2 linked regions of the Astyanax mexicanus genome follow. The protein of the gene in region 1 interacts with the protein of each later gene in a biochemical or structural test. Links are inferred from orthologs where the notes say so. Each region holds a gene or a part of one and is shown in the gene's direction. Other genes may lie near its edges.

Evidence for each region.
Region 2: the proteins of tek (region 1) and angpt2a form a complex in vitro, tested with the Homo sapiens proteins (7 studies listed by BioGRID and IntAct, with this or other methods). The link is inferred for Astyanax mexicanus from reciprocal best matches to the Homo sapiens genes TEK and ANGPT2.

What each region holds. Positions count from the first base shown.
Region 1 is NC_064408.1:10,130,559-10,147,904, reverse strand, and holds the start of tek (tyrosine-protein kinase receptor Tie-2), read left to right. Parts: upstream 1-8,605; 5' UTR 8,606-8,870; coding exon 8,871-8,988; intron 8,989-17,346. UniProt on the Homo sapiens protein: Tyrosine-protein kinase that acts as a cell-surface receptor for ANGPT1, ANGPT2 and ANGPT4 and regulates angiogenesis, endothelial cell survival, proliferation, migration, adhesion and cell spreading, reorganization of the actin cytoskeleton, but also maintenance of vascular quiescence.
Region 2 is NC_064414.1:2,731,754-2,738,752, forward strand, and holds the start of angpt2a (angiopoietin-2a), read left to right. Parts: upstream 1-3,999; 5' UTR 4,000-4,353; coding exon 4,354-4,608; intron 4,609-6,999. UniProt on the Homo sapiens protein: Binds to TEK/TIE2, competing for the ANGPT1 binding site, and modulating ANGPT1 signaling. Can induce tyrosine phosphorylation of TEK/TIE2 in the absence of ANGPT1.

The sequences.
Region 1 (17,346 bases):
CTGTAATTGAAAGGAGGCTCTAGTATCTACTGTTGTGCCTCTAGCCTGGAAACAAGATGAGATACGGTGGGGTATGGAGGTACACAGGTTCTATATGGCATCCTGCAGCACATTTACTGTTAACTGTGCCCAATCACTGTCCCTCACGCTATTAGACGGAAGCTCTGAATCTGTTGTTGCACAGTTTGTGCTGGTTGTCCTGTAGTCCTTCATCAGTGGCCACAGGACACATAAGAATGTCCATAAGATGCTGTTGTTGGACCATTCACAGTCGAGCACTTTTGAACATTGAGGTGTTTAAAAACTCCAGCAGCACTGCTGCATCTGATCAACTAATCAGTGCTAATCACTGCAGTGCTGAGAATAATAATATGACCCACCACCCAAATAAGAACAACTTCTCTGCTCTCTTGTGGTCCTATATATATATATATATATATATATTTTTTTTTTATTTCCTCCATATTCTAAATAAAAATATTCTCATTTAGAGCATTTATTTGCAAAAAATGAGAAATTGCTGAAATAACAACAACAAATAATGCAAAGAAAACAAGTTCATATTCATAAAGTTTTAAGAGTTCAGAAATCAATATTTGGTGGAATAACCCTGTTTTTTAATCACAGTTTTCATGCATCTTGGCATCATGTTCTCCTCCACCAGTCTTACACACTGCTTTTGGATAACTTTATGCCATGCACTCCTTGTGCAAAAATTCAAGCAGTTCAGTTTGGTTTCATCCTACTCTTGATTATATTCCAGAGGTTTTCAATGATATATATATATATATTTATGAGTTCAAAGGAATATATATATATATATATATATATATATATATATATATATATATATATATAAAGTGTGTTAAAAAATAAAGTATGATTCAAAGTATGATTCTCCTTACTATATGTGCAATACATCACCATTCTGTCATTCCCTCTCTCTCTCTCTCTCTCTCTCTCTCTCGTTTTCTCTCTCTCACACACACTCACATCCTTTCCTGTTTTAGCTGCCCCCCGCTTTTACTAACTGTGAATCTGCGAGGTCCTCTTTATTGAAGATCCAGGCATGCCCCCTTTAGTAGCTCTGCTGCTGGCTGGAAGCCTGCGCTGGGTGTGTGTGTGTGTGTTAGTGCTGGAGTTGGAGGAGTTAGAGGAACTCCACCCTGCTGCTCTGTGAGCTGCTGACTGAATTACTGCTGCCCCCAGAACAGCCACAGAGAGGGCCTTGACCCTCCAGCCGGTCAGAGGAGCTCCTTATTCACTTTATCATCCTTTTCTGTTCTATTCCAGGTCCTCCGCTCCATGTGTATACACTATCACCCCTGTACTCTGTGTTCTCTGCTCCTAAACCAGCTTCTACATGCTGCAGCTTGGAAATCCCTACACCTGTATAGGTTGTGAGGTGTTATCTAATGTGAGTCAACACACCCCACACAGATTTCCCACAGATCAGTGCACGGTTCTTTAGCCTTCATGGGACACGGCAAATGTCATAGGGCACAGTACTAGCTCCTGTCCCATGATATTTGGCATGTCAACCTAGTGTAGCGTATATACAGACAGCTAGATAAATGTAGTGCTTAAAATAATCTAAAGTAAAAAACAAAATCCTACGTGTTCCTGTATAGCCAAATTAGCTCAAATTGAAGTGTATTGTTATGTTTGTTCAAATGTAGTCACTTTTTGTTTTAAAGGGGGCATATTAAACCTCTTTTTACACAAGTTATCAGAATCAAAATACTTAATTAATTCCAGAGGGAAATTGGTGTTGTTACAGTAGCACCCATTTAGGTAAAAAAAATAAACACAATAAATAATAAAAATAAGATCAATTTTAAAAATACAATAAAAAATACCTATACCTATGATATAGTAAACATAAATATATGCACCATACAAAAACTATTACCAATTATTATTGTACCTCTATAAATGCACCCTATCACTATTGCACCTATGATCACCATAGAAGAGGTCTATAAGCTATACAAAACATGTTCATGAAGTTCTTTGCACAAAATCACACTCGCATAAAAAAAAAATCGTACAAGCTCTATTCTTACCTGTTTCAGTCCCTTTCAAAATGAACCGTTTAAGGGCTCTGTAACCTTTATGCAAAGTTCTTGCAAAGCTGTTGCAGGCCACACTCCATGTTTACGCTGAGTGTTTAGCACATGTTAGTGTTAGCTTGTGCTAAACGGTAAAACAGGAACAAGCTGGATCATGCTTAATTCGATAGAAGCACAAAACCCATTGTTTGAATGTACTTACATCTTCCTTATCTGCTGACTTGCCAAGGAAAATAGGTACAGATCCCTCCCTCAGAAGAAGTCTGAGGCCGAAATGGTGTTTTTTCAACTGATCTAGTGGGTGGGGCTCTGGCAAAGGGTGGTGCCAGGGTGGTTCTATGCAGATTTTCATTATTTTGATGTCACAGTAGGGGAAGCATCCAAACGGCTTATAGAAGCAAATGATTTCTGACACCAAACTCTTTCAGCTGATTCACAGAAAACGGATGGATGGAATTTAATTTCTGTGTTTGGAGTGTTTATAGGTGCAAGTAGAAATACAAAAGCACACAAAAAATGAGTTTTGCATTATATATCCCCTTTATAATAATCTCATTCAAATTCAGATCAGTGTTCAGTGTTGTTATGTGAGTGATGTTGAGGTCCGCCCGTAAGAAACGCAGAGGGCAGTGTTTTAATGCTGTGAATGAGTGTCACTGTTTCCACAGCTGCTGTAATAACTTCAGCATCCTCATACGTCTCTCTCTCTCTCTCTCTTTCTCTCTATCCTCCCTCTCCCTGTCACATGCTTTCTCTTTTTCTCTCACTCTCTGTCCCACACACACACACACACACACAGAGGAAGAAACACAGAGCTCTGTCCAAACAGCAGTTCCTTAAACCTGTTCCTCTCAGGAGCCAAAGGTCCATGAGAATATTTTTCCTAGCGGCGCTGAGAGAAGCCGGGCTGATCATTATTGTAAATACACACCATGTTTCTCACTGTTCTCTAGCTGCCCTACTTACACTGCAAATCCACTCACTTCCTCACCAAAACACACACTGCCTTTGCTTCACAAGTTCAGAATCACTGCTCAGAATCTGTTTTGTTCCAGAATTTCTTAAAGAGTAACTAAACCCCCTGATTTTAACTGACTCCACCCTCAGATGGCTCCAAATGGTTTGGGGTGAGCTGGAGCACAGAGTGAAGAAGGTAAAGGGGCAACATGTGCTAATAAACACCTCTGGGAACTCCTTCCTTCAAGACTGTCGGAAAACAGTCACCATTTCAGGTGACCACCTCTTTGAGAAGCACATTGAGAGAATGATGCCGAGAGTGTGCAAAGCAGTAATCAGAGCAAAGGTTGGCTATGTTGAAGAAACTAGAATATAAAACGTGTTTTCAGTTATTTCACCTTTTTTGTGTACATAAAACACCACATGTGTTCATTCATAGTTTTGATGCCTTCAGTGAGAATCTACAATGTAAATAGTCATGAAAATAAAGAAAACGCATTGAATTTTTAAAAGGCAAAAAAAAAAAAAAAAATGGGGCACTGGGTGATGTATGGGTTTAGAGGTGGGGCAGGAGGGAAAGAGCTGATTGGCTGACCTGTATCAGCAGCAGTGGGCCTCTGATAGCGGTGAGACACAGATGGTTGGATGTCAGCAGTGGGGTGTTTGGGTATTATTGATTAACTGATTTGCGTATTGTGATTTGTCTGTGTACCATAGTATATGGACTCATCATCCTCTCCTGTAGCACATTTGAACCTGAGAGGACACTGCAGAGGCGGAAATTCCCACAATAAATAAATGTTTTTTAAAGGTTAGGAAATGTTTATAAAAAATAAGCAGGACTGGTTTGTTTCATTACTTCAAATAAACTTAAATTTCAGCTATAAATTAAAAAATATGGTTCAGGGTTTAGTGGCTCTTTAAACAGTGTACAATGAGATTTCTCTCAGCCCAAACTAGACACCAGAATGTTCAACCCTAGTTCCAAAAAAGATGAGACACTGTGTAAAATAAAAAACAGAATGCACCACCAGTTGTCATTGTAGAGAGAAAGAGATGTAGAGAGAAACAAAGATCAATAAATAGAGAGAGAAATAAGTAGAGAGAAAGAGAAAAAAGTAGAGCAAGAAAGAGTGAGATGTGAAAGAAAGAAGAGAGACAAATAGAGAGAAAGAAAGAAAAACAGAAAGAGTAAGAAGTAAAGAGAAAGAAATAAAGAGATGTAGAGAGAAATAGAGATACAGAGAAAAAAAGAGCGATAAGTAGATAGAATGAAAGAAGTAGAGAGAAAGAAAAAGAGAAAAATAAAGAGAGTTAGTAGAGAGAAATAAACAAAGAGATGTAGAGAGAAATACAGAGATGTAGAAAGAGAAAAAGAGCGATAAGTAGATAGAAAGAAAGAGAGAAAAGTAGAGAGAGTAAGAAGTAGAGAGAGAGACATAGAGATGCAGAGAAAGAAAAAGAGCGATAAGTAGATAGAAAGAAAGAAGTAGAGAGAAAGAAAGAGAAAAGTAGAGAGAGAGACATGGAGATGCTGAGAAAGAAAAAGAGCGATAAGTAGATAAAAAAGTAGAGAGAAAGAAAGAAAGAAAAGAAGAAAAAGAGAAAAATAAAGAGAGTTAGTAGAGAGAAATAAACAAAGAGATGTAGAGAGAAATACAGAGATGTAGAAAGAGAAAAAGAGCGATAAGTAGATAGAAAGAAAGAAGAAGAGAGAAAGAAAGAAAAGTAGAGAGAGTAAGAAGTAGAGAGAGAAACATAGAGATGCAGAGAAAGAAAAAGAGCGATAAGTAGATAGAAAGAAAGAAGTAGAGAGAAAGAAAGAAAGAAAAGTAGAGAGAGTAAGAAGTAGAGAGAGAGAAATAGAGATGCAGAGAAAGAAAAAGAGCGATAAGTAGATAGAAAGAAAGAAGTAGAGAGAAAGAAAGAGAAAAGTAGAGAGAGAAAGAAGTAGAGAGAGAGACATGGAGATGCTGAGAAAGAAAAAGAGCGATAAGTAGATAAAAAAGTAGAGAGAAAGAAAGAAAGAAAAGAAGAAAAAGAGAAAAATAAAGAGAGTTAGTAGAGAGAAATAAACAAAGAGATGTAGAGAGAAATACAGAGATGTAGAAAGAGAAAAAGAGTGATAAGTAGATAGAAAGAAAGAAGAAGAGAGAAAGAAAGAAAGAAAAGTAGAGAGAGTAAGAAGTAGAGAGAGAGAAATAGAGATGCAGAGAAAGAAAAAGAGCGATAAGTAGATAGAAAGAAAAAAGTAGAGAGAAAGAAAGAAAAGTAGAGTAAGAAGTAGAGAGAGAAATAGAGATGCAGAGAAAGAAAAAGAGCGATAAGTAGATAAAAAAGTAGAGAAAGAAGTAGAGAGAAAGAAAGAGAAAAGTAGAGAGAGAAAGAAGTAGAGAGAGAGACATAGAGATGCTGAGAAAGAAAAAGAGCGATAAGTAGATAGAAAGAAAGAAGTAGAGAGAAAGAAAGAGAGAAAAGTAGAGAGAGAAAGAAGTAGAGAGAGAGAAATAGAGATGCAGAGAAAGAAAAAGAGCGATAAGTAGATAGAAAGAAAGAAGTAGAGAGAAAGAAAGAGAAAAGTAGAGAGAGAGACATGGAGATGCTGAGAAAGAAAAAGAGCGATAAGTAGATAGAAAGAAAGAAGTAGAGAGAAAGAAAGAAAGAAAAGTAGAGAGAGTAAGAAGTAGAGAGAGAGAGAAATAAAGAGATGCAGAGAAAGAAAAAGAGTGATAAGTAGATATAAAGAAAGAAGTAGAGAGAAAGAAAGAGAGAAAAATAGAGAGAGTAAGAAGTAGAGAGAGAGACATAGAGATGCAGAGAAAGAAAAAAGCGATAAGTAGATAAAAAAAGTAGAGAGAAAGAAAGAGAGAAAAGTAGAGTAAGAAGTAGAGAGAGAGAGAAATAAAGAGATGCAGAGAAAGAAAAAGAGTGATAAGTAGATATAAAGAAAGAAGTAGAGAGAAAGAAAGAGAGAAAAGTAGAGAGAGAAGAAAGAAGTGAAGAGAAAGAGAGAGAGAAGTAGAGAGGAAGAAAGAGTGAGAGGCCTTTTCCAAGTCATCTTAATTATATAAACAGATATAATTGAGAACAGGTGAATGTGATCAGAACTCATGTGAGAAGGAACTGGGAAACGAACATTGTCTGGATAGAAGTTTATTATATTCCTGTAAAATGTTCTGTTCCAACTGTGCTCTCCAGCTGCTGATGGTGAACAGTGGGAATCAGAAGTTGAGCTTTTGATCTTTGGACTATAGAATAATCACAGTAGAAGAGCCGGTTAAAGACCGAGTCAGCACACAGTTTAATGTCTTTTAGAAATGTGAGGCTGAAACTTTAGCAGAGCGGACTTGATTTTAAAACATTATAACATTATAATAATATTTTAACTTAAACTGAATTTTACATCTAATGTGTCTGCCTTTCCAGGCTGAGCTCCACTCTCTCCTCCATCTCACTCAAGAGACTAGTAGCAGTTTTGCCTGTTGACACACTCACACACAGCTGGGTTTGCTCCTGCTTCCCCCATACTGCCATAACTTCACATTCATTTGAGTTATTCACTAAAAAGCTGGACATTTACACTGAGCATGTGATGGTGTGAGCTGGCTTATCTGGGTATGTGGATACGTCTGTAATTCTGCTCAGTATAAAACGTCCATCAGATTCTGACTCCTGGGGAACATTGGGGAACACGGCGTAGTGGAGACAAAGGTTAAAGCCAGATCTTAACATAACCCAGTGCTGCTTTTGACTTTATATATCAGTAAATGATGACTTATTTAAACCATTACATAGCTTAAAATAATAAGAGCTAGTGATTCACTCTCAGGGCAACAGAAGCTTATGGGAGGGATGTTTTATATCACAATCATGAAAACATGAGGCAACGATGAGGCAAACATTTCCCAAGATTGAATCTTTTTTTTTTTCAGAATCATTGGTTTCATTTGCTTCCATCTGTCAAAATCCCCATTTATACTATCACTTTAAAAACCAAAGGACAGAGCATATCAAACACAGATGCAGCTAAAAAAGAATTAAAGTATAGTCAGTATGCAAAAAAATAGGTTGGCAATACTTCGCAAAGACAAGGATATATATACATACAAATAAATTGAACACGTAATTATACAAACAGATGGAATTGAGAACAGGTGAATGTGATCAGTACTCAGGTGAAAAGGAATGAGAAAACAATTCAGTGAGTGTTAGCACTCACTTTTTCAAATCTCAAAATGTATTGGGATAGCAGGAGTGTGTATGACTTCCCTTCTTCTAATTATTTTAAAATCTGATCAACCTGTAGATTGCTACTCCAAAACGATCGTTCCAAAGTCAGAGCTCACCTGGCTCTTAAAGTCTATTTCGGTGTGTTTTTCTCTGTTTTTGTCAGTTGGCGCATTCCTGAGTAATTAAGCTGTATAAACGACTGTATGCATGATTTTTGATGCAGTTTGCATCACTTGGGGTTGTAAGAGTTTTAAAGGTTAATGGCAGGTGACACACTGATTGGTTTATTTCACGTTATGCCCAAATACAGACCCATTATTAATTTAAATAGAATTAGTACATGCCTTTTGCGTGTTTCGAACCGTGTTTGGTAATTTTTTTGCACCCTCACGATACAAAAGACACACAGACACTCCCTAAATCCAGCTGTGTGATCCGCAATTGCCCAGTGCACTATAGATGACTATAATAGGGCCCTAGTTGTGTACTGTATAGTGTACTTCTTGGTGAGAGATTGTAGACCACTAATTCATTTTGCTCAGTCAACAGACTTTGACAGGGGGCACATCATTGGACTAAAAAAGGCGGTATGGTAGTTTTGATGAATTTTTTCACCACCTAGGTCTTCTATCATCCAGACATCATTGCAGTCATTTGCAGTAGTGTTGTGAAAGAGAAGCCTGGACTGCTGTAGACTGGAACAGTATTGTCTCAGGACAAATCAAGATAAAGTTTGGGATTCAAATGTGGTTGGGTTTGGGTGTGGACGCCTTGTGATGAGCGCTTCAGTCCTGCTGTGTTAGCTGTAGAGCAACATATTGCCCCAACTGCTGGTGTGATGATCTGAGGAGTCATCGCATACAACAGTCAGTTAGTCCTAGTAGTAATACAGGGTGTTGCCTCTCATGGTAGGGCCTCAATGAGCGGTGTACTTTTACCGTCGTTACGATAGCAAAGACACACTAAAACAACCTAAATCAAGCTTTACGGTGCGCTGTTGTTAGCTCATTCCATTCCAATGTCTAACTTTCAAAAAGTGTAGGATTTAAGGAGTGAAACAAACTTATTTTATTTAGTTTTATTTTTAAAACAGTACGTAAATTTGAAGTGTCCATGATGGAAAGCTTAGGAAGTACAGAAGGTAACCATCTAGAAAGCATGTAAGGTGGACCATCAAATTAAAGTGTTACCATATTCACTTTCTCTCTCTCTCTCTCTCTCTCTCTCTCAGTTTTCCCTCCTCCCTCGTGAGAAGTCTACGGTAAGGTCAGGGTGGGCACCACTCCCCTCAGGGCTGGGGCAGGAGCTGCTGTTAATGACAAGCAATTGTTCAGAGAGGGAGAGAGAGAGAGAGAGAGAGAGGGATAGAGACAGAAAGAGAGAGAGAGACAGGGAGAGAGAGGAAACAGGAAAAAGGAACTTCTACTCCCAGTGCCTGGACAGAGCAGAGCTGAGAGGGTGAAAGGGGGTGTGGAGGGTCGAGAGAGAAAGAGAGAGAGAGAAAGCGAGAGAGAGAGTTCCAGCTCTTCACTCAGGGAGGAGGGATGTTTTCAGAGGTTTGTTTCTGACTCTGTTTCTCTGGGCTCTCTGAGCTCTGAAGCTCTGCTCTGGATGTGGACGTGCTGCCCCGTGTCCCGCGCCCCCGGTGGCCCCCTGTCCCGCCGCCGGGGGTACACGCCTCACCCCTCCGGCTCCGTCACGCTCTGTCTGCTCAGCTATCTCCTCACAGGTCAGTGATTTACCCTTAAACTACTGTTAAACTACTATAGGAGTTTAACTACTGTCTGCAGTGTCAGGCTGTTGTTCTGGCTGGTCTACCTGCTTGGTCATGATGGTCAGTAGATGGTGGAAAAGTGTGGTGAAGCTTCATTCTGCTCAACCAATGAACAAGTAATTATATAAACAGATATAATTGAGAACAGGTGAATGTGATCAGCACTCAGGTGAGAAGGAATGAGAAAACAGTTTAGTGAGTGTTAGTCAGAGCTCACCTGCCTCTTAAAGTCTATTTCTGTGTGTTTTTCTCTGTTTTGGTCAGTTGTTGCATTCCTGAGTAATTAAGCTGTAAAAACAATTCACGATTTTTGAAACAATTTGCATCACTTGGGGTTTTAAGAGTTTTAAAGGGAATGGCAAGTGACATACTGATTGGTTTATTTCACGTTACGCCCAAAAACACACCCATGATTAATCATGCTGAGAGGCATGCTGGCTTAATCATGCTTAATCATTTTGGTAACATTGCTACAACATCAGTGTAACATAGCTAATTTTCATAACGTTATTATCCATCTAGCTGGGAACATTATGTAAGAAACATTCTAATAATGCTGTGATGCAAACCATTATTATGTCTCATTTTTAGTATCTTCCTCAAACATTTTCAAAATGTTGCTAAACGTTCTTATAATGTTTCCTGTATGGTGAGATGCTTGGTCATATTGGTTGGCTACCTTGGTCAAGCTGGTCATGCTGATCAACCTGTTTGGTTATGATAATATTTGTTTAGTTGAATGTTTTCTGAATGTTACAGTTAATGTTCTTAGAACATTCAATTTCAAGTTTTTTTTGGATGGTCTTAAAACATTTATAAATGTTCTGATACTGTTGTTGCAGTGTGATTTGTTTTAGTTTTGGGAACCATTATTATGTCACATTTTTAGTACCTTCCTGAAACATTTTCAAAATGTTGCTAAACGTTATTATAATGTTCCCTGTTAGGTGAGATGCTTGGTCATATTGGTTAGCTGTCTTGGTCATGCTGGTCAACCTGCTTGGTTATGATAATATTTGTTTAGTTGAATGTTTTCAGTTAATGTTCTTAGAACATTCAATCTCAAGTTCATTGGATGGTCTTAAAACATTTATAAATGTTCTGATACTGTTGTTGCAGTGTCACTTGTTTTAGTTTGGGGAATGTTACTTTCAACATTTTCATAACGTTATTATCCTTCTAGGTGGGAAATATTTTAAGAAACATTCTAATAATGTTGTAATTCAGACAATTATTGGGTAAAATTTTTCAGTACCTTCCTGAAACATTTTCAAAATGTTGCTGAACATTCTTATAATGTTCCCTGTTAGGTGAGATGCTTGGTTATAATGGTTTATTATCTTGGTCATGCTGGTTTTGCTGGTCAACCCGTTGATTAGATAATATTTGTTTAGTTGAATGTTTTCTGAATGTTACAGTTAATGGTCTTAGGTTATTCAATTTCAGTTTTTTTTGGATGGTCTTAAAACGTGTTTAAATGTTCTGATACTGTTGTGGCAGTGTCACTTGTTTTAGTTTTGGGAATGTTACTTTTAACATTTTCATAACGTTATTATCCATCTAGCTGGGAACATTATGTAAGAAACATTCTAATAAGAATGTAATTCAGACCATTATTATGTCACATTTTCAGTACCTTCCTGAAACATTTTTAAAATGTTGCTAAACGTTCTTATAATGTTCCCTGTTGGCTGGGAAGCTTGGTCATATTGGTTGGCTACCTTGGTCACGGTGGTCATGCTGGTCAAGCTGCTTGGTTATGATAATATTTGTTTAGTAGAACATTTTCTGAATGTTACAGTTAATGTTCTTAGACCATTCAATTTCAGTTTTTTTGGATGGTCTTAAAACGTTTTTAAATGTACTGGTAACGTCACTGCCATGTCACTTGTTTAAGTTTTGGGAATGTTACTTTTAACGTTTTTCATAAAGTTATCTGCCTAGCTGGGAACGTCAATTAAACATCTATATATAAGCTTGGTCTTATTGGTCGACTAGCTTGTTCATGCTGGTCATTCTGGTGAAGCTGCTTGGTCATGATGGTCCACAAATGGTGGAATAGTGTGGCGAGACTGGTCATGCTGGCCAACAAGTTTGGACATGATATCAATATTTGGTTTGTTGAACGTTTTCAAAATGTTACAGTTAACATTACTGGAATGTTAGTAAAAGCTGAATAATTTGTAGTAGGTACTGAAAAAAATTACATCATAAAATGTACAGTAAATATTGTATAATGTACAGCTCTACACCACTTAAAATGGTGAGTTTCTTTAATTTAACCAAGTTGAAAAACCTCTGGAATATAATTAAGAGGAAGATGGATAATCACAAGCCATCAAACCAAACTGCACTGCTTGAATTTTTGCACCAGGAGTAAAGGCATAAAGTTACCCAAAAGCAGTGTGCAAGACTGGTGGAGGAGAAGATGCCACGATGCATGAAAACTGTCATGCGTAAAAAACAGAGTTATTCCACCAAATATTGATTTCTGAACTCTTAAAACTTCATGAATATGAACTTGTTTTTTTTGCATTATTTGAGGTCTGAAAGCTCTGCATCTTTTTTTTTATTTCAGTCATTTCTCATTTGCTGTAAATAAATGCTCTAAATGACAATATTTTTTATTTGGAATTTGGGAGAAATGTCTGTAGATTATAGAATAAAACAACAATGTTCATTTTACTCAAACATAAACCTATAAATAGCAAAATCAGAGAAACGGATTCAGAAACTGAAGTGGTGTCTTAATTTTTTCAGAGCTGTGTAGTACATGCTGAATAATTTGAAGTAGTATGTACTGAATCATTTATTCTAAATATTGAGTAATTTATATTGATACTTCTTGAGTGTGGGACAGGCCACCACTGTTGGGAGTTTGTCTTCTAAGTGTTCTCTCTAGTGTGTAACGGGTTAAAGGCAGAGGCCAAATTTCAAAGTATGGTGCATATGATTGTCTTGTCTTGTCGTGTCTTGTCTTAATTACTCAATATTGATTGAATATACAGCTCTATGCTTTCTTTATTGTTGTAACCAAGCATGGTGACTAAAGTTTAAGCATTTGTGAGGTATTGCCGGAATCCTGCAAAACCCTAGTATCTTCATTTTTGTTGTTTAATTTTTTGACATAATGTGAATCTAGCAATTCTTTATGTCATAATATTGTAAAAAAAAAAAATTGAATGAACCAATAGAAATGCTTCAAAATTACTTGGACTGAATTGTTTTGTATTGACCTTCCCAAGTTATTAAGATTATTTTATTATATTCTGTAAATTTGAATAGTCATATGCGAACCTTTTTAACCATTTGAAGAAATCACATCACTTCAGTAGAACACTTGTTTCTGTGTGTTGTGAGCAGATAAGGTCAAAGGGTTAAATTCTTTCTTTTGTGCTTCTCTCTGATAAGAAACCCTTTATGCTTCCAGAGACGAGCTGCTGTAACAGAACCAGATGTGTGAGGATGCTAGAAATGAGCTAAAGGCAGATCGTTGTTGTTTAATACATTATTTAAATACATTAGTGGTCCTTCGCTTTGTTTCAAAATGTCATGATAAATGGACCAATAGAAATGCTCCAAAAAGTCTTGGAATCAATTCTTTTTGCATTGACTTCCATTGAAAGTTAAAGAGTTTTTTTTTTGTTCTACTGAAAAGTTTTGCTGTAACCGATTTAAAAAAAAAAATCATGTAATTTTATTTTTAAGCACAGTAAACTTAACAAATATATATACATATATATTTTAAATTTAGAGTTTCCTGAATATATGTATATAATATATATATATATTTTTCTGAAGTACTATATACTATATTGGTTTAAGTAATAATTACATAATTAATATAATTTACACCAACTTAACCAGAACACAAAATATATGATAGTATATTATTTTTTTTTATTATATCAATTGCTTTGCACAATAACTGTACTTTAAATGTGATAGTCAGGTGAATAAAATGTGTATATTTGTATTTAGTCTTCTCTTTGATATCTTATAAAAATGAAGTTGAAAAAAAGTTGATGAAGAAAAAAAACTATTGAGTGAACAGTATAGAGCATACAGCCAACACACAGATACTGCAGTTTAGAAAATGATGCTTGTTCTTAAAGCCTACAACACAGAGAGCAAGAAGTTAATCATAATATATGATTGACGACTTTACCTAAGCTAGTCCGGGGGTGGGGGGGTTGGTGGGGGATTGACTACACACTGATGGTGAGTGTCATAAAACGGGAGTCACACCCAAATAAATGCAGAATAAACTCAGTTATTATAAGTTAATTCAACTAGTGGGTTTACAGTGTAGTTTTTCTTTGGATAGCGACTATATATATATATATATATATATATATATATATATATATATATATATATATATATATGTATGTGTGTGTGTGTGTGTGTGTGTGTGTGAGTTAGTGAGGTAATCTGTAAGGAGATATGTACTGTGCTGGTCTGCTGCTTTGCTGGGACACGGGATAGCACCTCTGAGCCCACCACGGCTTCACCACTCTGTGTAGCCGGATGATTTAGGGGGTGTTTTGGGGATGGTCCAGATTCAGTATGTGCCTGTGTTTTTGTGTGTGTGTGTGTGTGTGTGTGTGTGTGTGTGTGTGTGTGTGTGTGCTATCTATGGATGTAAGCCAGCTATAATAGACCTAGGCCTTTAGGCCAGGTTCTGACATTTCAGTCTAAATGTGTGCAGAAACCTGAGGATATAACCTATAGACTCCAAACATCTCAGCAAGAGGGTCACGGAGTATTGTATGGCCAGAAGTATTGGGACACCTGCACTGTAAAACTTAACTGCGTTTCTTACTGAACTAAAAATGATCAAAAATGATGTGTTGCCTTCTTGCATTTATTGCTGCTATTTAAAGTTTTTGTTTTAAGTGTTTGATTTGAGTTAGTATAACTAGTAATTTAAAGCAATTGGTTTTCTCAAATTAAATAAGCTGATACTGTTTGATAGGAAGTTCTTATAACTTTTAATTATAACGTTTTAGTTTTAGTTATAACGTTTAATTGGTAAAACTGAGTTTGCTCAGCTTGATTTGCTTGAATTGATTTCTGAACTCTTAAATTTTTATGAATATGAACTTGTTTTCTTTGCATTATTTGAGGTCTCATTTATAGCTCATTTATGTGAATGAATCATTTTGAGAATGAATGTTTGTTCAACTCCACACAGTATTAAAATTAACTAAAAAAATAGTTTTGAAAACTTAATTAATTACCTAATTAATTATGAATTACCTAAAAAAGGATTTGAGTAGACTTAACTTACTAGGGTTTTCAGTGCACATGAATCCAAAATACTTAAATAAACTAACAATTATACTGTGAACAGGGATTAGTACTTAACTCACTTAATTTACTCAATTCTATTTAACAATGATTATGTGTATTATGCACACTCATTTCAAAAAATATTTTTTGCTTAAATCGTTTGAGTTATCAAACTTAAATGGTTTAAGGCGATCAGTTTCCTCAAATCATTTGAGTTTATTTAACTTGAAAGGTTTTACAGTATGCTTATTAATTGTTTCTTCTGAATTCAAGGCCATTAAAACTATGTTTATCCTTCTTTTGTTGGAGTAACTGTTTCTACTGTCCAAAGAAAGCTTTCTAATTGATGTTGGTGCATTGCTCTGAAGATTTGGTTTGCGTGACAAGCATATATATATATATATATATCATTTCACTTTTGCAGAAGCAGCATTACCTTTTTAGAATGTACTTTCCTGGTTTTCAGTCTAAAATTAACGAACATATTCTACAGTGAATTTGCAAATCAACCCATGACTTAAAGCAGAAACAGAATGCCGTGAAATGAAACCCTAAAAAAGCAAGTGATCCATTCATGCTTGTGCTCAGAAAGGCATTTTTCCACTGCGACTGCTGACAAAAAAACACACATTCAGCCTGATGAACCAGGGTTTGCTCATAGTTTGATGTTTGTAATGGTACAGTACCAATCTGCACTGTGTTATTGTAGCTAATCAGATCTGTGTGGGAAGAATATGACCACAGATTTGTAGTGAGAGTTGCTATGACAGTGTATCTGTGGGTTTTTTCATTCATTTTAAAATGTTTAGGTGTGGTCTCTAGTATGAATGAATGTCATGTGAGCTGGTTTTGTGAAAAAGTGTGCTGGTGGTCCAGTATAATGCAAACATATTGCCTCTGATTGGCTAACAGCAATGTGACACCAGTGAGACAGACAACAGTTAGAAACGCTTTAAAATAAAGGCATTTTTACACTAACAACAGTCTTTGCAATTTCACATATTACTTTACAACATGTGTAATGTCCTGCTAAGTGCAGTTCAGACACTGACCTAGTCTTAGAGTCTCTGTAAAACGCCAAATCCACCGGAAATCCTATTTAAACACACAAAGGTGGGCCGTCCAGGTCCAGAAAGTAAAAATCCACCCCGGGCAGACAGTTGGAGCAAAATCCAAGAGTGGATTTTTACTTTTAACTAATGTAAACAGAACTTTTCTAAGCATAAACCTACCTATCTCAATTGTACTTTACTGGTGTTGTTCCATAGACAGATTCTAACTATTTGTTCCTTATCTCTGAACTACTTAAGTATGAGTAACTAATTTATTTCCTGTTTATTTTTATGAATGTGGCTGTGGGTGACTACAGAACTGGCACTAGCATCTAAGCCAGGGTGGTCAATTCTGCTCCTGGAGGTCTGATTCCTGCTAGGTTTCATAGTTTTCCTGCTAACTTCCAGGCTTATTAGCTCTTCTAGAGTTAGGTAATAATCAGCAAACTGTGCTGGACCTTGGCTAAGCCTTGGTCTTATTATAAAAAGATTATAAAGAGAGGCTTGATCACAGTAATTATATTTTGACCTCCCTTTTTCTAAGTGAATATAATGGCCTTCCCTCTCCTCCCATCATTTAGAGGAATGCTAGCCAGTATGGGTGTCTATAAGCTGAATAGAACTGGTGTTTCTGCTATGTACTGTAATATTATTGCCATTACAAATGACAAAATCCTGCAGAAGGCTTTTAATCATAATGCAAAACAACTATAAATAATTTGGTATCTTTTCAAAATAAGATATCTTGTGTAATCCCACATGGTTAAATTTTACGGCCTACAAAACTGCTAATAATTACGACAACAGGCCCATGTGAAGTTCGACAACTAGGTTTTACCATTAAAGAGTACGTTGGTCTTTTGGTATACAAACAAGTGCTAAGGTCACTATAAGGTGCACTTAAAATCCTTTAATTTCCCCCAAAATGATCAGTGCACCTTTTAATCTGGTGCACCTTATGTATGAATTTAACCAGTCACTTATTAAGGAGCAGTAAAGCCACTCTACTGAAATACAGTGTTATACAGGAGTTTCAGTTTAGTGTCATCAGGGCTGGAGTAGCATTAGCTGCAAGCTAGCTCTTGCTCTAGCACTAGCTCTTTAGCCGTACAGAGGTGAGAAATATCAGCCTGTAGCACTGCTGGAGCAGCATTAGCATTACTTGCTAACTGCGCTAAGTATTTCAGACTGTAGTCTGCGAGTTTACCATGTTAAAACAAGCTACGTGGATGAACCGCCAGCTAATATCGCCATGGCTTACTGGAACACTCAGGGACTAACGGTTAGCTGCTAATGCTAATGATCCAGCCTTAATGCTGGAGAAATTGGGGAATCTAAGCTTACTGTAAATAAACATAACTTCTTTACTCATCCAAATAAACAGTTTTCAAGAGAGAAATCTGTATAACATCCAGAGCTCATTTGACTCTTTTTTTACAATTACAGTTTTGTTTACTTGGCTTAGCTTTACTTAACTTAGTTAGCTACCTTCCCACCACCACCACCGAGCAGTGAGACCTGCTGAATTAGAAGGAAAACATGGCGACACCCCTGTTCCTTACTAGTGTCACTTAAAATGCATCTTATAATGCAGAAAAATATGAGAAATACAGTTAGCTCAACTATTGTTACGATCCTAGAGTCTACATGTCTTAAAAGCTTAAATAAATAAAGCTTAATTCCTTGTTTGTCCTTGTGTATTCCTCAATTTAAGATTTTATAAAGATTTTGTATTTAAGAGTTTTTCCAGCCTTAACACAACCCCTGACATTTTGAAAGGGCTTGTTAATGAGCTTATTAGTTGAATCAGGTGTGTTGAGGGAAAGGAAAAATAGTCTGCCAGGACCAGGATTGAGAAACACTGAGATAAAGTAATAAATGTGACAACGTGTTGATCATTTGTGACTCATAAAATTGATTACCCATATAAATTAGTCATTTTCTGCAACCTTTAGTGATGTGTGGA
Region 2 (6,999 bases), on another chromosome or scaffold:
AGCCACAGATCTGATTTACTTAATAATAAGTCTAAATTCCAAAAAAATGCATGTTTCATTAAGAAACTTTTACTTTACACTCTACAGCCAAAAGCCCCCCGAGTGAATGAGTGCAGTGATGAAGCCACAGCTTCAGAGTGATGAAGTTTCCTGCCAAATCATAAAAAAAAAAAAAAAAAAAAAACTAGATTCCTGAGCCCGGCAATGACAAATTCCCCTTATCCGAATTAAAAGGGATCGAGCTTTGAATGTTAAACTGTTTAAGAAAAAAGGAGGACGTTGTGTCATTTCCTTCCTCGCGCGGCTTCCGTTCACCACGAAGCGGCCGAGGCAAACACAAGCCTCCCACGCGCGGCGCAGGAAGGTGATTCAGGTCAAACACCTGAAGCTCGGCATTCTGGGAGCTCCTGCTTTGATATCAGCATCTCCTCTCCGTGTTTATCCGTCAGTTTCAGCACACTTCCGGGACGCTGCTGCTGCTGCTGCATCAGGGTCTCTGTCTAACCATCTTCCTCTCCTTTCAGAGTCCATATGACGATATGTTGTTATTATTGAAATGAATTACGTCAGTGTACGCTTTCCTGAGCACTGGAGGCATCAACAGGAGGAAATCACAGCATGATTCATAGAAAAACAGATATTTACAATTAGATCCACTGGTGCCATACTGTCAAATTTAAAACTACATAGAGCTTATTGAATTAAATTTTTTCTGTTTTGTTTTTATCTTTCATACCTTTTTTTCTTTTTAATATTTCACTACTGTGTTGATATCATCTGTTTTACGTATATATATATATATATCACATACAGCCTTTTACTATCCAAGCCTATTTGGATGACCATTAAAAAAAAACAAAAACAAAACAAAACAAAACAAAACAAAAAACGTTATGACCCACACTCCCCACACAATATCACAGCCATAAAACAGCAATTCTTTCAAATTAAGAAATCAAAGGAAATAAAACTTCCTGACATGTTTTACTATAGAATTCCTGTTTTTTGTCCCTCAATTATTAGATTTTGCCATGTTTTACACGTTAGGTTGAATCTCACTGTATTTTACATCCTATAAAATGGGTGTCAATGTAGTTCAATGAGTATTTATACTTAAATATGCTTTCATTTTAACACATTTGATAAGCTTCAGACGCTGTTTTACTGAGAATACTCAGTTAAGAGTAACAGGCATTAAGATTTCCAATAACATGGCCTTATAATACAGAAAATTGTGCTTTTTTGGAAGGAAAATGTTTTTAAAAAACAGATTTTTTTAACAATATAAACTTCTCAGAGCCAACGATGGTTCCTGGTTTTTTATCCATAAGTGTCATAATTAAGGAACAACTTGCTTTTTATTTTCTCTATTACTAATCCTTAGGGATTAAAAGTCAGGGAGAATAAGTGTAAAATAAGGAGTTAAATCCATGGAATGCTCAGAAAATTAGTCCTGATATTGTACCTCTATATTATCATTAGAATTATACTCTTTTACACTACAACAAAATGTTTTCAATTTTAACAAAAACACATATTAATCTTTTGTTTAACGCTAAAACTGACTGACTGAGATGCTGCATAAACAATTTATTCAGAGTCTGTTCTAATTTCTCCTTTGTCAGATATATTAAAATCAGGCTGACCTGATCTCCAGACGACAGAACTCAGTTTTTATGGTTATAAATCAAAGAAATGAGCAAGAGGAAAGCAACAGAACAGCTCTTTTTGTTCGGGGAAGAACATGCAAACTTATATACAACAGAAAAACTAACTATATAACAATGCAGACTGTAGAGAAAATATGTTCCGGAGCAGAGCTGAAAGATCTGTGAACTATGGCATCTCTTTCTATAATGATCGCTCATGTGAAGAGGGAAAAATAAAGAGCGCAAAAGGCAGACAGAGAGCAGAGAACAGAAGAAAAAAGAGAAAGAGTATGGGAAATTGTACGAGAGCTATGGAGTTTCTAGCTCAGTTTACAGGGTACAGAATGCAAAAACCATATCTGATGCATCTGGTTGTACTGCATTAAAAGCCTTATACACTTTTCACACCTGAAAACATCATAATTTAGTGTGAAAACTCGTGTCTTTACTGTAAATCCAGCATGCTTATGCCCGAATTCTTCATAACAGCTCTGACGTACATCAAATGGAAAGTGTTGATGCTGATCACAGAGAAATGTCAGGTGTTAATGGAAGTGACGATTAAAGCCACAGGAGCACTGTAGTGATGTCTGTTCTGAAGAGACCCCCAAAGGGGTTAAGGACAAAACATCCTCTAAGCGGAATTATTTCCTCCCTGCAGCACCTGCTTTCCTCATCCGTCATGTCAGTGTTATATACACCACGAGCCATCAGTGCTCATATGAAGGAACTTTCGGCTGGTCTGCTGCCCCTGATTTGATATCCTCTTTAAAAAAAAGTCTTTAGGGGGTTGTAAGTCCTCACAAACACATCTAAAGAGCGTTAAACATGGGAGCACCTTTTTAAAAAATGAGGTTTTAGATCTGGTCCCTTTTACAGCCCTGTTTTACTGACATACAGCTCTTAATTTTACCAAATTAAAAACCTCTGGAATATAATCAAGAGGAAGATGGATGATCGCAAGCCATCAAACCACCAAACTGAACTGCTTGAATTTTTGCGCCAGGAGTAAAGCAGCATAAAGTTATCCAAAAGCAGTGTGTAAGACTGGTGGAGGAGAACATGATGCCAAGATGCATGAAAAAAACTGTGATTAAAAACCAGGGTTATTCCACCAAGTATTACATTTCTGAACTCTTAAAACTTTATGAATATGAACTTGTTTTCTTTGCTTTATTTGAGGTCTGAAAGCTCTGCATCATTTTTTTTGTTATTTCAGCCATTTCTCATTTTCTGTAAATAAATGCTCTAAATGAGAATATTTTTATTTGGAATTTGGGAGAAATGTTGTCTGTAGTTTATAGAATAAAACAACAATGTTCATTTTACTCAAGAATAAACCTAATAATTACTATTATTACCCTGCTGACGACATCCAACCATCTGCATCTCACCCCTACCAGAGGCACACTGCTGCTGCTGCAGCTCAGCCAATCAGCTCTCCCTCCTGCCCCACCCCTAAACCCATACATCATCCAGAGCGCCTTCCAACCTAACCCTCTTATTTTAAGCCTTTTTCAAATTTGAGCTGAGGGTGGAGTCAGCTAAAATCAGGAGGTTTAGATACTCTAAAAAATATGAAGAGAAAACTATTTAGCAATTATTATATAGTTAGTAGACTGAGCGAACAAAAAACTAAAATTGGCCTATATAAACATCCCTTACTGTGCTTAATGTGCAAACATGAAAAAAGGAGAAAAATAAATATTAACGATTTTGAGATGCTTACACAACAGCTGGCAGATGTGACTGCAATAACAGTTATGCGAAATTCAGAGGAATTAAGAGAAAAATATATTTTTAGCTGATGCATTAATAGAGATGGGGAATCTCATTAAGATGACATTAAAAAAAACTTTTATAAATGACTCTTGAATGAAAGCCAGAGGGTTGTCTGCTTTTATAAACACAATGCTTTTTCAGTTCTTTTTTTTTTTTCCTGAAACACGTTTTTAGATATTGCTCTCAAGACAAAAATATGGAAGCATTAGAAACGTTTTCTAAATCTATGATTCTATCTATGATAGTTTCTCACTCCATCACATGTTAAAACAGCCACTGTTGATACTGAAGTTGCTTGAGCAACACAGCTGCATCCTGAGGGGCTTTTTGGAGTAAAAGCCTCGAAGAAAAACACAAATACTGCCATTGTTGTCCTGTCCTCTTCCACCGGCCTGACCCCGAAACCGTTTGGGCTGTTTTTTTTATCTGGAAGCTGAAGGAGCATCCAGCGGGAATTGTTTAATTAGCGCCTCCTGCTCCTGCACCGGCTGAGAAGCTCCTTAGGCTGCTCTGCTCAGTGAAGGGTGTCTGTCGGGTGGTGGGAGGGGCTTCACCCTTACTACCCAGCCACAGGAGCACATCGCCTCAGACAACAGCAGAGTGTGGGAGACCGGTGACTGGGGAGAACACAAGCTGGGAGTGGGGATCTGCCAAGTGACGCTCCGTTACCACACGCTGACATTTGTCTCCACCTCCCGCTTTTGACAGACTTATAAATGAAGCTCACTCACACTGAGGAGGAGAGAATCCTGCCTGGGGAGGTTCATGCAGATGCAGTTCTCGAAGACTCTCAAGACTTGGCAACACACGAGGAGCCTCTGAACTTCTTCTGACACAAGACAACTGGAAGGCAATTCTCTTCATACTTCAGCAATCCAGGGACTTCTCCAAAAAGATAAAGCTAAAAACATTTAGAGGCAAAATGCAGAACGCGGGAATACTCGTCCTCAGCATCGGCTTCATCCTGGCAGACGGGTTCTCAACAGGTAAGAAGCAGTACCAGATCCAGAACGGGGGCTGCAGCTACACCTTCCTGCTTCCCGAGCAAGAGAACTGTCCGCCCAGCAGCTACAGCAACCTGGCGCAAAAAGACGACCCTGCTGATTATGATCAGTCGGTCCAGAGGCTGGAGCAGCTGGAGAGCATCATGGAGAACAACACGCAATGGTTGCAAAAGGTAACGTTTCATTCAATAATGAAGACAGAGACAGATAGAAAGCAGAAAGCTTGTGTATCTTCATTTTTTTACCAATTTTTCCGTTCCTACAAATCAAAGGTTCATAATAAATAGATAGAGAGAGATGCGGCAAATTGACTTAAAATTAAATATTTCTAAAACGACTTTCAGTAAAGGTTAAACTTTTTTTAATGCTTTTTTAAGCATTAATCTGCATTAATAGATGGCTATAACACGTCTTAGAAAAAGATCTTGTGTATATTGTAGTTATCCAGTAAAATCCAAAACTCTGCCAATTTTCTATTTACTACATCATTTTCATTGGATCAGAAGTTTAAAATAAATATACGAAAAAAAAAAGCAGCAAACTGACTTGGACTTAGATCTTTCTAAAGCGACTTACATTAAAAGTTAAACTTTTTTTTTTCCTTTTCATCTTCTAAAGAGTTCTGCGTTCCCAGATTGACTAACACAGGTAACCAGTCTTAAGTGTGTTAGCTTTGAAAAACTTTCTTTTGTTTCAATCAATAGTCACATATGGTCTTAAACCAATATATATTGTATTGTATGTATTTAAAAAAAAAACGCAACTGTTGCATTTTAATGCCAGTACTAAGTTTAAGAAGCCAAAGAAAAAAAAAAATCAATTGTTAATGCTGGACTAATGCCATCACACTTCATTGTGGCTTCTTAATACCAGGAAGGAAGCAAATATATTGCATATGCATATATTTTTATAGAAAAATGACATCAGAAGTACAATCTGTGGAACAGCATTGGGACGATCAGAGCAAGAACCTCAATCTACACACAGTTCTGCATCCTCGGATGGGTTAAATAAGTCTAATATGTGAGCAGAACAGGTGTGTGTAAATTTGGCTGGATTGCTGTTTTTTTTATAGCCTTGATTCCTGTATGCCGCAAACTCTGAACATGGCATACTTTAAAAGTACAAGTAATGCAAATGTAATTAAGTGATACTTCGAATGGTTGCAAATATTTCATTTTATCACCAACATCATGTTACTTATAGCTTGTGCTTGAGATTTAATATATTTAATGTGGATCAATCAAATCTATAAATTGTTGAAATTGTTGGTACATCCAACATAAATCCACATTCAGCGCAGACAGATGTCTTAGATCTACTCTAATTAAGCAATAAAGCATCTCTATAGCTGTGTTGAAACTAATTATTTTATTTGTATGGCATTTTAAAATCAAGTGTTTGACAGAGCATGACTAATATACCCATTGTTAATTTTTTTTTTTAACTTCACATTAAACTAATATAAAGAAAACACATGTTAAAAATACTTGTTTAACATAAAAATACCTTTGTTGATTTACATTTTGATTTCTATAGAAACAGAGCTTCCTACATTACGGTATACTGGGTGTTCAAGCAAGCACAGCAGACTTGTTTTAGCCCACAACAGCCTTGTAAAATATATAAATATATAAATATATATAAAACGTACGAAAAGATTATAAGATGACTGTTGTTTCTGCGTATTGGATGCTCTGAAAATACAGCATCAATCAAGCGCAGCATCATAGACCAAAAATGAGTTTACTGAAAGAATTTTACAGGAAGGCAGATTCTGAAACCATAAAGATGCTTTCTGTGCTTCCAATTGTATGGTTAAATTAGTTAAACCTTACTACTGTTGGGAGTTAATGCTGGTGAAATAAACTGGTCACACACTTCTTCTTATAAAATTATTTCGTTGGACTGCCTTTAAGCCTTGATTGCAGCTTCATGCATTCACTGTGGCATTGTTTCAATAAGCTTCTGCAAAGTTACAAGATTTATTTCAATCCAATGTTTCCGGATTAATTTTTCACCGAGATCTTGCAGCAGCATTGATGATGGTAGAGTCTGACCAACCGCTGCACAAAGTAGCTCTTCTCCATCCAGCACATCCCAAAGATTCTCAGTGAGGTTAAGATCTGGACTCTGTGGTGAACTCTCTCTCAATCCATGTGTAAAAATGATAAATGATGATCTCATGCTCCCTGAACCCTTTGCACTCACTCTTTCACAGTTCCAGCCCCATGAATTCTGGCATTGTTCATCTTGGAATATGAAAAAAATATATATATATCCATTGATAGAAGAATAACCTATTAGTCTATATGAATTAATTATATTCAGGTAGTCAGCTGACCTCATTCTTTCAGCACATACTGTTGCTGAACCTAAACCTGCAGACCAACTGCAGCATCAACCAACCAACACATCATTTACTCACTTAAATACAGGTGGAGACTTTTTTTGTTTTTTGGCCAGGCAGTCTATATGGTTGCAATAGGTCAAAACTGACAAACAGATTTTATCGCATAGCTTCCTCTCTGACAGTAACCGTACCGGCGTATCTGTCCCTGTCG